Daphnia pulex: one gene and its partner. Each later gene encodes a partner of the first gene's protein in a complex. Links are inferred from orthologs where the notes say so. Each region holds a gene or a part of one and is shown on either strand. Other genes may lie near its edges.

The links.
Region 2: the proteins of microfibrillar-associated protein 1-like (region 1) and pre-mRNA-splicing factor 38A-like are in contact, whole or in part, in a crystal structure (PDB 5F5S), measured with the Homo sapiens proteins. The link is inferred for Daphnia pulex from reciprocal best matches to the Homo sapiens genes MFAP1 and PRPF38A. Residues at the interface, in NP_005917.2 of Homo sapiens: Glu275, Tyr276, Trp279, Arg282, Glu283, Arg286, Arg289, Asp290, Arg294, Leu297, Glu298, Lys301; in NP_116253.2 of Homo sapiens: Tyr124, Asn125, Tyr127, Lys129, His143, Asp145, Glu146, Asp149, His153, Tyr169, Val170, Glu172.

What each region holds. Positions count from the first base shown.
Region 1 is NC_060019.1:11,262,732-11,270,549, reverse strand, and holds microfibrillar-associated protein 1-like, read left to right. Parts: upstream 1-2,307; 5' UTR 2,308-2,450; exon of another isoform or gene 2,451-2,518; intron 2,519-3,231; 5' UTR 3,232-3,722; coding exon 3,723-3,940; intron 3,941-4,009; coding exon 4,010-4,328; intron 4,329-4,393; coding exon 4,394-4,472; intron 4,473-4,534; coding exon 4,535-4,692; intron 4,693-4,755; coding exon 4,756-5,082; intron 5,083-5,144; coding exon 5,145-5,423; 3' UTR 5,424-5,533; downstream 5,534-7,818. Other genes in the region: ADP-ribosylation factor 6, read right to left, coding at 441-583, 656-854, 927-1,030, 1,113-1,194. UniProt on the Homo sapiens protein: Involved in pre-mRNA splicing as a component of the spliceosome.
Region 2 is NC_060022.1:2,881,243-2,888,789, forward strand, and holds pre-mRNA-splicing factor 38A-like, read left to right. Parts: upstream 1-2,820; 5' UTR 2,821-2,965; coding exon 2,966-3,095; intron 3,096-3,160; coding exon 3,161-3,320; intron 3,321-3,385; coding exon 3,386-3,507; intron 3,508-3,543; exon of another isoform or gene 3,544-3,570; coding exon 3,571-3,656; exon of another isoform or gene 3,657-3,721; coding exon 3,722-4,312; 3' UTR 4,313-4,361; downstream 4,362-7,547. Other genes in the region: furin-like protease 1, read left to right, coding at 1-58, 148-229, 290-500, 625-858, 938-1,147, 1,206-1,501; mitochondrial import inner membrane translocase subunit Tim16-like, read right to left, coding at 2,058-2,279, 2,358-2,516; DNA repair and recombination protein RAD54-like, read left to right, coding at 6,624-6,626, 6,694-6,909, 6,979-7,178, 7,245-7,314, 7,371-7,547. UniProt on the Homo sapiens protein: Involved in pre-mRNA splicing as a component of the spliceosome.

The DNA of each region.
Region 1 (7,818 bases):
CAAAACTTACACATAACAGGGGATGGGAGAAACAATCGATTATGAAAAGAGTAAAACATAAACGGACGCGGGAATCAAACGGATGCAAATTTATGCAATACAACCCAAAGTTTGAAACAGAAGAGGAGGAGGATTTGTCGTCGTCGTCAAGTTTTTTTTTTTTTTTCATTCAGCACAACAATTTTGGAAGAGCTCGTGTTGTGGGCTTCGTGAGAACAGACCCCACAATATTTTTGTTTTGTTTCAAATTAACTGTGGGCTGCCCTCGCGTCCGGTACGGTATTGATTATTTGATGCCATAGCGCACTTTGGCAACACACTATTGCAGTGAGATGCCATCTTCAATCATATAGTCTTAGTTATTTGTTTCCTAAATCTTTCCTCTACGCCCCACGACCTTGTTGAATTTTGTTATACACAGCACTTGAACGAATGATTCATTACGATTTGTGATTAGATGTTAACCACGTTAGTCCTTCATACAAGCCGTCGCCTGTTGTGGCACATGCTGGCTGGACGTACCAGTTCCGATCACGAATACGAGTCAGCCCCAGTTTTTCTTGAATTTCGTGTGGTTTCATGGCTGTCAACATGAAAATGTCGTGAATAAATTGGGGTTCCACAGTCTCAATTATAATAATTGTAAAATACTCACCATCCTGGAGGTCTTGTTTATTTGCAAATATAAGGATGATGGCATCACGCATCTCACGATCGTTTATGATCCTATGAAGTTCTTGTCTAGCTTCGTCAATTCGATCTCGATCTGCGCAGTCCACAACGAATATCAAACCTTGGGTACCAGTATAATAGTGTCGCCACAGTGGGCGGATCTTATCTTGGCCACCAACATCCTGCAGTAATGATTCATATTTTAGTGTTGGGTTTAGAAATTTGATGGGTGAGGTCAAAAGGAACTAGCTTACCCAAACATTGAATTTGACATTTTTATATGTTACAGTTTCAACATTGAATCCAACGGTGGGAATTGTTGTGACTGACTGTCCTAATTTCAGCTTGTATAGAATTGCTATTTTGAAAAACAAAAATAATAAGTATAACTTGGAAAAAAACCAATGCTATCAGACAACACATAAAATTCTTTATCTCACTTGTTTTTCCAGCTGCATCCAGCCCCAGCATGAGTATCCTCATTTCCTTGTTTCCGAATATTTTGGACAGTATTTTCCCCATTCTCCTAATCAGCTCACTAACAAGCTGTTTTACAAGAAAAGAACTTTATTTCAAGCAACAAAATGACCCTGTCAGCCACAGCCATATAGTTTATCCACATCTGTAGAACTGAAGTGTCAAACTAGTTTGGTAACTTTTCAGTGACATTTGTGGCAAAAGTTGTTATCAGAAAAAAATAAACAGACTTTGCTCAGTCATTTACAGCATACTAGCTAACATACTATTATCAGATCAGGTTTTCCACTTACTTTAATGTAGACTCAACAATGACGTTTACTGGAATTTTAGCTGTAATATGGAAGTATTTTCGAAGGCATTCCTATGAACCGGAGTCGTTATTTGCACAAACACTATTTTGTTTTTGATGTGAGCACTAAGAAATCGATGGAAGGCGTTGGAAACAGGCGAAAATAAATAGTTTCTTTGCTTCTTCAGATAAAAAGGCACCTGTCACTTCAGTTAGCCGCCCAAACACCCGACCCGGTCTTCCCGATATCTTTGCAAGTCTTCAGAAGATCCAAAAAACTCGGGCCTTCCAATGTAATGAACAGACAGAATAGTACTCCTTGCATCTCACCAGATGGCTTTTTTTTCCTTCTTCCAATTTTGGTGACGGCGGCGTCTGAAAACAACTAGCTATTTCAGACTTTAACACATTCCACTCAACTAATCAATTATTTCTATTATTACACTTATTCAAGTGGAATAACGAGAGGAATGACATACACACACCAGTGTAATTGAGCAGATGGAATTCCAACACTGACAGCCAGTGTCCCCTTTTCTGCCCACCTTCTGATCCGCCCACCCAAGCTTCGATTTGATTCGATTTCAAAACCATTCCCTAACCGTCAACGTGTTCCCTCCCACATCTTTAAAATGTATTATTGAAACAACGAGTGATAAATTATTTTATTATAATTTTTAATGCAGGATTCATTGGTTCGAAAGGGGAAAATTTATTTAGCAGTTTCTAACATTTCTAAAAATTTGATCGGCAATACGGCAAGTGTTTAGTAGCGACGTCTATAATTTCAATTTAAGTAGCGGTCTCTGGCGTCAAGATTACGAAAGAAAAGTTGAAATTCATGAACACATTTTTCTTTTTAGGTTGCCGGAAGTCGACAAAATGCCTCAAGCCGGATCCCTATCTCCTCCCTTAACCCCCCGCAGCAACAGCTAACAGGTTGTCTCGGCTATCAAAGTGCATTTAAGGAAGCTGAATTACTCATTTTACAACTGAAACATTTCACCATGTAAGCCGCTAGCCGTAGTCTTTTGTTTTTTTTCCAAAAGAAGCATATTCACCATAAATATGTTCATGGTTTGTACATAGTGTTTCTATACAGTCACCGCCACCATGTTATGACGTTTTTTTGATGGATTGTTATTTCTTGTTGTTGCTTTTCGGACACATGTGTACTTGACTACTCAAAAGATTTGCTTTTCTCCCACAATACTTATTACTGGTTAGGTATTTTTCTATAAATAAGCACACTAGTGCTTGTTGCCTGGAAAGATTTATTTTAGCTCCTTTCTTTTATTACAGTACAAAACAGTTATTTATTAAGAAATAAAATGGAGACATCGAAGTAGAATTTCGAAACCGCACATTATTATGCTATGACGATAAAAAAAAAGCGGTAGAACCACCAAAAATATTCGGTTAAACTTTCGAGCGGATATATTTAGTGGAATATAGCGTGAGGTAAATTTTGAAGTGTGTGTCTAATCGATGTCCTTGAGTTCAATATCTTCGACGATCCGGTGAAAACTGCACGAAGTCATGCGGAGCTTTGAATACTTTGGTGTTTCGAAACAGTTGATAATAAGCTGAAACTCGTAAAACCACCGCCATTGCGATCAAATAGTGCGATGTGTAAAATCTAGCTACGACATAAGTAATTTCCTACAAAGTAAGTAGTAAGTAGGTAGTTGCTATATACAATAAATGAGTGATTTATTGTAACGTCATAATGAGGTCCAAATTCCTAAATTCCGACATTAATTTTCTCAGATTTATTTCGTGATTCTTAGGCACTTCAAGGTAAACGAGATTCCTCACGGTTGCCAATCCCTGGATAGAACTTGGCGAAAGGTCTCCATGGATTTTGGTCACGGCCTCTTTATCCTGATCCTGCTATCAGCTAATAAAACTCAGATAAAACTATCGTGTTTGCATTGTGTTGCCTAGAAGCAGCATAATCAGATTTTCAGTGGATTACAGCAACATCAATTGCTGGGTACTGGTCACAGTCTGCAATAACATGTCATACAATATTACGTGCCATAGGAGACGGCAAAAGTCACGTCATTCTTTATTTCAATTTAAGTTCTTAGATGGCGCAGTAGTCGTCTTCAATTTCATTCGCCAACAGAGGACTCTGCACTCTGGTGATCCGATGAGTGGCCCACTGGCCCTGAATAGAGTATGCAATGGCAACGAAAAAAACATTGAGTGAAAATTCAGACAACAAACGCGTGTATATGGTCGTTCCGTATTAAGATTAAGACAATTTTTTGTGAAAATGTCGTCATCCAAAGTGGTCCCTATCCTTTCAACCGCGGGTGCTATCCCTGTGAAAAATGACAAAGGGGAGATATCTATGCAAAAAGTTAAAGTCAATCGTTACGTATCAGGCAAACGACCAGACTACGCTACTACACATTCATCTTCAGATGATAGTGATGAAGAAGAGTTTATCAGACCAAGAAAGCAGGCAAGAGGAAGACCAGTAGAAGAAAGGTATTAAATTATTGATTGTAGATATGTATTTATATGCTTGTATATTTAAAAAATTTGATTAAATTGTAGTCCTGAAAAAGAATGGGACGAAACCCCAGATCTTCCACTTACTGCTCACAGTGACAGAAGATTAAAACGTCTTTTAAATCGTGAAGTTGACGACCATAGAATTGAAAGGCATCGTCATATCCATGAGCCTGAAATTATTGGAACAGAAGAAGATGAAGTAACACCTCATTTAGAAAGTGAAGAAGTAAGTTTTAGCAAAAATGCCCGAAGATGGGAATCAAGTGAAGAAGAGGATGAGGCAGAAGATCTTGATGAAGATGACATTGAGCGCAGAAGAATGATTGCACGTCAGAAGGCTGTTATTAAACAGCAAGAAGAAGTAAGTTAATATACTTTGTAGTATGATCATTGATCAATTCAATTCAATTGCAAATTTTGTTGTAGGAGTTGTTGGCAAGAGAGGAGGAGAAGGAAAGTGAGGAAGATGAAGATGACGAAGCTTCAGAATATGAAGAATATACAGGTTTGAAATAAAAGTCCCTTGATGTGAACAAGACTCTAAATCTGTTGTGTTTTTTATCCTAGATTCTGAGGAAGAAACGGGTCCAAGACTGAAGCCCATCTTCGTTAGCAAGAAAGAACGTATAACCATAGCTGAGAAGGAAAAGGAATTGCAAAAACAAAAGCTTATGGAACTTGAAGCTAAAAAGCTTGCCGAAGAACGTCGCCGCTATACCTTAAAGGTAAACCATTTTTAAATTTATACACTTTTTGAACTAAAAAAGCATTAAAAATCTATTAAACAGGTTGTTGAAGAAGAAGTCAGAAAAGAAATGCAAGCCAAAGACGAAAAAGACCTTGAATCAGGAATCTTGTCGGTGTTGACGGATGCCGAGGATGAAGAACTCGAATACGAGACCTGGAAATTACGTGAACTTAAACGCAATAAGCGTGACCGAGATGAAAGAGAGGCAGAAGAAAGAGAACGACAAGAAATTGAACGTATCCGTAATATGACCGAAGAAGAACGGCGACTGGAATTCAAGAACAATCCAAAGGAAGTCACAAACAAGGCACCAAAGGGCAAATATAAGTTCCTACAGAAATACTATCATCGCGGTGCCTTTTACCTCGTAAGTTCAGCTTTTAAAGATATTTGGGATTTTAAAAATAATTTAAACTCTTACTCTAACAGGACGAAGACAAGGAAGTTTTCAAACGCGATTTTGCTGTGCCAACTCTTGAAGATCACTTCGATAAGACTGTTCTGCCTAAAGTGATGCAAGTTAAGAATTTCGGTCGCAGTGGTCGAACCAAATACACACATTTGGTGGATCAAGATACATCACAAGCCGACGCACCGTGGGCCACGCATACTGCTCAGAATTTGAAATTCTACACACAGCATGCTGGTGGAGTAAAACAAGTGTTCGAAAGGCCTGCTTTGAAGAAGAACAATAACTCGGGTACTTGAGTTGTGGCACTGTTTTTATATTTGAAATTGAATTTTGTAACAATGTCTCATCTTTGTGGTTGATACATGCAAACCATCAATCGTACGTGAATTAAACATGTTTCCAGACATTCAATGTATCTAAAGGAAGGGGTAATCTTTTTTTTTCAGTCACTGCTTGTAGTAAAATTTTAAATCTTAGATTACCCTATACTTAGTAGTTCTCTTCTCTGCTGGTCTTTGTCTTTCTGGTCCTGGCTCCTTCTGGGCTGAGAAAACTTTTTTCGCACCCGCTAGATGTGCTGTGTACCGGGCTGGGTTGGGATGGGGTCATGGGGGTGTAAAAAGTTACACTAAGGGATAGCTCGAACAGTCGGACGCCGGCCTAGAAGTCAAGTAGGCCATGTCAGGATATTGTTTTGGGTCACGCCTATTGCACTCCGGGGTCCGGAGCGCTCTAGTGTCATAAGTGGCTATTGCAATCCGGAGTCCGGAGTCCTCTAGCGTCAAAAGTGGCTATTGCACTCCGGAAATTTATGGCGACGAATGGCAAATAACGACTGATTCTGTGTTTAACATAAATACCATTCAGCCTGAGTTCAGAGTCTGTCTTTCATTCAAGCTTCAATTATAGTGTGAAAGAAGAGGGAGTTATGCACTGATCTGTGGTTTCACCTTTGTTACAATATCGTACAACAGGTCAACAGCATGTGATGAGTTTTTGAGATTTCCCCAAATGAAAAACAAACCTGATGGCTTCAAGAAATTAGTGTTTGACATTTTGAAAAAAAATGTATCATGTTTGAAAAGTGAGATTTTACTTATTTCATCTATAAAAGTTTTAAGGTTTGCAGGATTAGGGGTTTTCGCTATTTCTTTACGTTTACGACCTGATCATGACTTTATATCACATAAGAAGAATGTTCCTCGATATCATTTAATAATGAAAGAAGTTGAGTGTGTATAAACAAAAACAGTAGGTTTACTTTCTACTCAAATTTAACACAATATATTTCACATAATAAGTTCAATTCTGGGTGTGTATACATGAGACTACATAATAAGGTATTTATTTTTTACATTCGTGACAGAACCATTCGTCATCGTCGAGGGGAGATAGATGTTACAAAATAGGAAAATACTGGTAGTCAAAAAGAGGAGTGGTTAACTTTGTTTATGATTATCTCCGCGGCGTTGGAACCTAAAGCAACCCATCATCAAAGGACAAGGCGCTTCCATATTCCGCTCTTAAAGGATCTTTGATTGACGCCGCACCATGTGCCAATTCTTTCCCCTCTTAAATCAATTACTTTTTCATTGTCAGTTCATTCATGTGATGACAAAGCACCGAGTGAAACTGAACACGAAAATACCAAGTATTTTTTCGCACTCACAATTCAGTTAAAATGTCTTTTGATATTCTCACTATAATAAAGTAAACTGCAATTGCATGTTAACTTAGTTTTGTATTGTTTTGTTTCAAGATATGAAAGACGTGTTTAGCTGTTAGTTTATTGGAATAAGAGACACGGGCATTGCATGGTTTATAGCGTGAAATCAGCTGAATCACACGTTACGTGTCAATCAGCAGAAATAGTGAGTTGCTGGTCAATGCGTTTGAAGGTCACAAAGAACCCCTCGAAGCCCCGTTCTGAGAACTCCGGCTCGACCTTCAGGCAAGTAGGGGGGCGACAGAGGGTGACTCACTATGTCGTGTGTTTATAGCGTGTTTAACAATCTAAATTATTACTTTGAATTTAATGATCTCTGTATAATATAGCTGAATCCCACGTTACGTGTGAATCAATCAGCAGAAATAGTGAGTTGCTGGTCGATGCGTTTAAAGGTCACAAAGATTAAGAACCCCTCGAAGCCCCGTTCTGAGAACTCCGGCTCGACTTTCAGGCAAGTAAGGGGCGACAAAGGGTGACTCACTATGTGCGTTTATAACGTGTATAAATCCTTACACTGAGCAAATAGAGCGAGAAATTGAAATGGTTAATAAGAAATATCACCCTGAATTAAAATTTTTATAAATTCTACTTTATTCCTGTTGCAAGACACTTAACTATATTTACAATTTGAATTTTAAGGTACTGATTCAATGTTGGACATTGTACTCTAGCTAAGTTAACGATAACGAAATAAAAGTTCTTTTTATACACTGACTATTTTTATTTATTAGTGATATTCAAATATATTTGATTGTTATAAATACATTTTATTTGAATTTCCAAAGAATTCAAATCTAAACCATTCAAATTTCAAAACACAGAAACAGAATGCCATCGGTCGCCAAATGAAAGTACTACATATTTCCATTCCGGAGTGCAATAGCCACTTTTGACGCTAGAGGACTCCGGACTCCGGAGTGCAATAGCCACTTTTGACACTAGAGCGCTCCGGACTCCGGAGT
Region 2 (7,547 bases), on another chromosome or scaffold:
TCTGGAAAAGTGTTCCTCCACAACAGTTTTGCGAAATTAAAGCTGCTGATACCAACACGTAAGTTTAACCTGATAAATGTGGCGCAAAGGACTTCAGTTACGTATGCGTGTTAACGAGTGATTTGATTTATCTACTTTGTGTTTTAGGATAATCGCAGCCAAAAGCTTGAGCAAACTGCATTTATTTTTGCGAGAGTGTGGAAATGTCAACGTTATAGAGCATCTTCAGGTATTTTGATTTAAAAACAAATTTAAACTTTGTACGTCATTGTCAGCTTGCTTATTTTAGGTATTGATTTCCCTATCTGCGGCGAACCGAGGAGAGATTCAAATTTTCCTAACGTCTCCTTCAGGAACTCGTTCAACGCTTCTTCAGCGTCGCCCTTTAGACAATTCTCGTAACGGTTTTCATTCGTGGCCTTTTATGTCGGTTCATTTTTGGGGCGAAAGTCCTTTTGGCGTTTGGACTCTTGAGATACAAAATGAAGGCCGATTTCCTGGTGAGTTATCTGATATGAATTTTCCTTTACATCCTTAGTCTTAATCAATATGTAATTTGCTCCTTAAAACTCAAAAACACAACTTAAAGATTAACCTAGTTTCTGGAATATTTCAAAATTGTAGCGACATTGATAGGATGGACTCTAATAGCGTACGGAACCAAGGAACACCCAGAGTCCCAATTATCATCTGATGACATTCCCATTCAACCAGTGAAACAATCGGTTGCTGAATTCGTCTCAAAAGATAGTCAAATTCAGCAGCCTCTTCTATCATCGGGACTTAACGTGGAGAAAAACCGTGAAGCAGAATTGCCCCAAACTCTCTTAATGACGACCGTTAGCAGAAGTCTTAGAGGTACTACTTGATTAACTTAGCATGATTGATTAACATACCATATTTGAATCCATTATACCTCTTCTGCTGTGGCTCCCAGGGTGTGAAAGTGGTTCCTATTTGTGGGAGGGCAAGTGCTTGGCAGTCTGTCCGAATGCTTCACATCCAATGAATCGCACCGAACTAAATGGTCTCCTTAGCGGTGTATGCGTTCCGTGCCACTATTCTTGTCTTTACTGCAGAGGACCAAGTGATTCTCAGTGCACTTCATGCTATCCTGATTCACAGCTCAAGTTTGTTTCTATACCAGGTACTGATGGTTAGACCTATGTTTGAAAAATCTATTAACAAATGTTGTTTCACCGTAGGATCCCAAATAGAACCAGAATCGCACTGTTATCCGCATGAACTCGTAAAGCAATTAACGGGCTACGAAAACTGGTCCGTGGGTGTCGAACTGGCTCTGGCGTTTAATTTAGCACTCGTGATGGCTTTAACGATTTACATGATGTGCACTAAAAAGAGTTTCAGTTCTTCTTTTGTTTTAAACTGTTGTAGCGGCAGCAACGAACGGGAAACGAACCACAGGCAAGGTGACTACGATCTGTTGACACAAACAAGCGCAAATCTTCCTCCACCTATTGGCGCCGAAAAATCAGTTTAAAGAGTAAAAGTTCTAAAGTCAACATTGTTTAGAAGATAAAATGTCAGTTTTTAATATTTATAAAATGTAAAGATTATATTTGTAAAAAGGTTCTATAAATATTTGAATGAGCGGTTTGCCAGATTCTGTAATAAATTACATTCTAACGGATACCATATTGATTGTCGTCGTCAGTCATTGTAAAAACTGGTAAAAACCGTGTTTGCTATAGAAGGCCTAATGCATATAAAACAAATAATTAAATGAGCTTGGTAAATGTATAGTGAAATAAATTTGCAGCAATCACAAGTTGTGTTAAGATTAAAGTTTTCACTAAAATATATGATTCAAATATAAAGGTAAGAACAAAGCCTACTAAATTAAAATCATACCTGAAAAAATGTTTATACATCACATCACAATAAAAAAATATGCATAAGGATTCTATAATATTAGAATAAAAAAGGTTATAAAAAATGATTTTTATTAGTTATCCCTATATGTACAATTTTTCAATTTGACTACAAAGATAAATTCCAGATAATTTCCATAACCTTAACTGTCGTTTTGGAGAAGGTTACATTTTATTTTCTTTTGACGGTTCTTGTTTTTTTGTTTCATGTTTCATTTCTTGGTCAAGTCGTTCTTTAGCTCTGTATACTTTAGATTGAAGGTAGAATGAACCACCTTTCGTCTTGTCATTAACTTGGAACAAGTGATCATAGTTCTTCTGCACCAACTCAGGTTCTAATTTATCCACATTCAAGATTTCTTTTGCTTCCTCAAGGGTCATGCCTGTCTACAGAATGAAAAAAAAAACATGTTAACTTTTTAAAATTTACTGATATTACATAACTTTTGTGTGTAACAAACAAACCTTGAAGTTAGCTTCTACACGTGATGCGCCGGCTTTCCCACCACCAGCTCTTTTGGCAGCTTCCTGGCTAGCTTGATATTCTTGTTTAAGAGCTCTAGCAAACGCTCGCCCAATAACCTGGCCCCCCATAACAATTATTTGGGCCAAATATTTTGCCATAACCGTGGCGAGATAGATTCAAAATGATTACGTGATGATTTACGTCTGTAGTAGTATCAAGGTAGTATACTGGAATGTTTAGCAGGCGAAAAACAAACGGAAAAGCTACAGAAAAAAATGAAGACTCTTCTCTCAGAACAGACAGGTCAGTTTAAAAAATTTAGTTTGAAAAATCTTAAATAACTTAAGTGATTGATTTGTTAAAAATATAAAAATATTTCATAAAAGTAAACTAAATAACGATAAAATTTTCTTTTCAATTGATGAATTGATCGCCCCACCCACTTGACCACTTGATGTCTCTGTCTGTCCGTAGCAGACGACGGATTCAAGCGTCGTTCTGTCGTTCCGTTGCTAATGCCGACAAAGTTTTACTTTTTATCAACACAGTTAAATTTCAATGATTATTCTTTTGACTGTACACATCTAGTGTTTTAGATTAATTCAAAATGGCTAATCGAACAATCAAAGAGGCAATTTCTGTTAAAGGAACAAATCCTCAATACTTGGTTGAAAAGATTATTAGAACTCGAATTTATGATTCAAAGTACTGGAAAGAAGAATGCTTTGCTTTGACAGGTATATTGAAAATTTTACTTGTGTTTTGATGCACTCATTTTATTTATGTATATGTATTTTTTTAGCTGAGTTGATGGTGGATAAGGCCATGGAATTAAGGTACATTGGTGGAATATTTGGTGGTAATGTTAAACCTACTCCATTTCTCTCACTTACACTAAAAATGCTTCAAATCCAACCAGAAAAGGACATTGTAGTGGAGTTTATAAAAAATGAAGATTTCAAGTAAGTTCTTTGACCAAAACAGACAAGTTATACAGGAAATCACCTAATATAATGTATCATTATAGATATGTCCGTGCCTTGGGAGCATTCTACATGAGACTTGTTGGAACATCTGTGGAAATCTATAAATATTTAGAACCACTTTACAATGATTACAGAAAAATTCGGTTTCAAAACAAGGAAGGAAGTAATAATAAAAATAAGATATTTTTAAAAAGAATACTGCAAATTAACATGTGGTTTTATTTAGATTTTGAGCTTCTTTACATGGATGATTTCATTGATAGTTTACTGAGAGAAGAGCGTTTTTGTGATGTTATCCTGCCCAGACTTCAGGTATAAATGTGAATTAGTATTCAACCTAAAAAATACTGATTAAATACGGTTTATTTTACTTTCAGAAACGTCAAATTCTGGAAGAAGCTAATGAAGTTGAGCCGAGAGTATCAGCTTTGGAAGAAGACTTGGAGGAAGAAGATTCAGAAAGTGAAGAAGAAGAGGGTGAAAGGAAAGGAGGTTCGTTGTCGCCCCCTCCTACTACATCGCGTTCAAAGCAGGACAGTGATCGAGAACGGGAACGTTCTCGTCGTAATAGGGATAAAGAACGTGAACGAGAGAGAAGTAGGGAAAGACGTGATCGACATAGAGACAGAAGTCGAAGTCGTGACAAAAGGAATCGCAGCCGTGAGCGTGACAGGGACCGCAGTCGTGAAAGAGAAAGGGATCGAAGTCGCCGCCAGCGAAGCCGCTCAGTCGAACGTTCGCGTGACTACAGAAGAGACCAAGACAGGGATCGTAGAGACCGCAAGGACCGCGGGAAAGATCGTGAATCAGAACGAGATCGAAGCAAAAGAGGCGAAGATCGTGACAAGTACAACAACAAAAAGAAAGATAGCAAAAAGAGTAGCAGTTCCAGTGCTGCCATCGATCCTGAAATTGCAGAAGCGAATGCCTTGCGAGCTAAGTTGGGGCTGGCTCCTTTGCGACCGTAATCTGCTGTCTTTTTTCTAATCGTTTTGTAATAAACACTCTTTTCATTTCCTTATTATTCCGAGGTCTATCTGATTCTTTATTCTTATTTCTTGTGTTGGATGTGCAGACTTCAACTTAGACAAGAACTTAGGATTCTTCCTAAGTGAGACGGTGTTCGTTATTGCAAATGTAAAAGAGTCAAAAACAAGGTAAGTATTAGCTGATCCCAACAGACATTTTAAACACAAATTTGTAGATCAATCATCATTTTGACACTACTATTTAATGTTGACCCCGTTTTCTGAATTCTTTGTAAAATGGCGAAAAAGTTTATATCTGTTCACGGATCCCGAAAAACTATTATTGCCCTCGGCGCGCAGTAATGACTTCATGATTGGCTGGTGCACCAGTATGAATTTATGGTGATTTTTATTTTTTGAGATAATTTTTCCAAAATTTCCTTTCGTTAAGAACTTACGAAGCATCAGCCGTTGCAAGAATAACAATCAGAAAAGGACTTGTTCCTCATTTGAAATTTTTCCTATTATTTTTCGTCACTTACAATTTTTCCTCAGTACCGTAGTTACTAGTTAGGCTAAAGATCTCGTAGTCTCGTCCTATAAGATAAAAGCTCAACACGGATTACGGTACTACGGCCTCGGAGATGCAGACGACACCAGCTTCCAATCCTTTTTAACGTGGTCTGACTAAAATTTAAATGATCTGTGATGTGTGGGATCTTCATGGTTTCTTTTCTTTTACTGGAACTGGACATCATTTTTCCAGCTATAAAATGTATTGCCATTAGATCACTCGTTGGCTAAAAACTATGTCCACTAGATGGTGTAAGTGTCTTTGATAGAATCGAAATTCCACCATTTTTTTTTCTAGACACTGAGAGAAGATGTAGATTGCAGATGTAGACAAAAAAAGACCGAACGCTACCTCAGAAAGTATCCTAGAAAATGAAGAGAGTTCTTCGAATCCTTTAGTTATCGAAAGGGGAATGTACACACCACATAATTTCTTCGAAGGCGGTGCAGTGGAGTAGTAGTTTCTCCAGGACGCTGTCTAGGCAAAGTACCGATGGTTCTCAGATAAACTTAATAGAGTTCCGACGGCCTGCCAGATCAGGTGCAAGCTGCAGAAACGGTGTATATATGGCTTGAAATCCGGTTTATTATTTATTGCAAAGTACCTTTTCGAATTGGTTAAAACCTGTCGAATAAATCAAACGGTTATTGGATAAAACAGATCTAAGTAAAATGTTTAATATCTACCAGCTTCTTGAGGAAAAACCAGGGGCTTTGTTCTTAGGTTGATTGATGGTCCCACGTTTGAAACACCAAACAGCGCGAAATATTACCTGTTATGGCTGTTATGAGCCTTCGAAAGAAAAACAATTTGATGTAATAAAAACAAGCACAAATAAACAACCAAACATAATGCAAAAGCTAAGAAAATATTTAAACACAGTTAATCTAGGGGGAATTGAATAGGGGAGTTGTGATACCTTAAGGACTTGAGGAAACTGAGGTAGAATATTTTATAGGACAGCATGGACTTCCTTTTTAAAAACAAATCAAATGTGTGTTTGCTGTTAACTTTGAATGAACCTGTTGGAAGATGGAAAAAAATAAAGTTTTACTCGAATGGAATAACAACCAGCAAAAGATTCTCTATTTTAATTAGGAAAATAAATAACATGTGTTACCATTTTCCCACCTGGTGAATTCTTAATTTGCTATCGCCTCCAAAATCTAAATTGAGCTTGGATGATGTTTCAGTCAATTCAATTCGTGAAGTGGACAATCAAAAGAAATCCTCTTACACAAATCGGAACCGGAAATCACCTGAAATTGCAGTGCATCATTAATTTCCAATTTTAGATTTTGGTCTGTAAGCTTTGTTCATCCTTCTGTTCTCTGATTAATAAGAAACAAAACTGAATTAACAATAGTTTCTATTATATCTGGTACTGTGGTTAAGTACTTGGTTATCTCACATAATAACACTAACAAGTTAATGACGACACGATTTTCTGGAAACTAATAACGAGTCGCCTCGCCTCGCCTCGCCGTTGAACGGGTTGAACTTTTTTCGACCATCCTCTGCAAAGACTACTGACAGAATGCGCCAATGCGGACAGCTTAAATATTTTCGCTTGAAAGCCCATCTAGTGAGACATTCGACAACGTCACAAGCAAAAGAAACCCTTTCGAGTAATCATTATTAGAGTAACTGCATAAGCACGATGCATTCACCTTTGTGTTTGTATTTTTAAGGCGCGATTCAACACGAGAAAGAGAACAAAGTGAAGGGATTAATAAAATGGTTTGTGATGAATTCTTCTTGAATTTTAACATTTTTGTTATATTTTTACTCAATTTTACAATGATAGAGACGGAGTTTGGCCCCAAGTCAGTTGGTTCAAGTTAAACGAAAATACGATGAAGATGATGACCCAGCTTGGTCAGAAAAGAAGAAAGGAGGCAAGAATAAGAAGACACAAATAATAGACAGAGCTTCAGAGTTTCTTTCTCCATTTCGTAAACCACTTGCTCAATGTAGTCTTCCAGTTGAAACCAATTCGGAAATGGCTGGATCGTCATTCCATGTAAAACATTAACTATAATAGTTACTTAACTCTATTGCCTCAAAATTATAGCTATTAACTATTTAACAGGAAGAACTTATCAAAAAGATTATGTCAAAGCCATTCAAAATACCAATACCAAACTACAATGGGCCAACCCTTAGCAAATCACTTGGAATGAGACGAGCTGGAGTACGACAAGCTTTACATGACCCAGATGAACCTGGTGCTTTGATTTTATATTCCCCTCCAGAACTGTCTGCTCATGACAAGCTGAAATCATCCATAAGGTACAATATTAAATAGTTTGAAAAGACTGGGGGATTAAATTTTCACATCTTTAAATTTTTTGTTAGTGATAAACATCCTGTTCATGTTGTTGTTGATCCAGTATTGACCAAAGTACTTAGACCTCATCAACGTGAAGTAAGTTCCACTTATGCTGCTGTAATTCTGGTCTTCTATTAATTTTCTATTGCTAGGGAGTGAAGTTCATGTATGACTGTGTCACTGGTCTATGCATTGAAAACAATTATGGTTGCATTATGGCTGATGAAATGGGATTGGGGAAAACTTTGCAGTGCATTACCCTGCTTTGGACACTACTCAAACAAGGCCCAGACTGCAAGCCCTTAATTTCAAAAGGGATCATTGTCTCA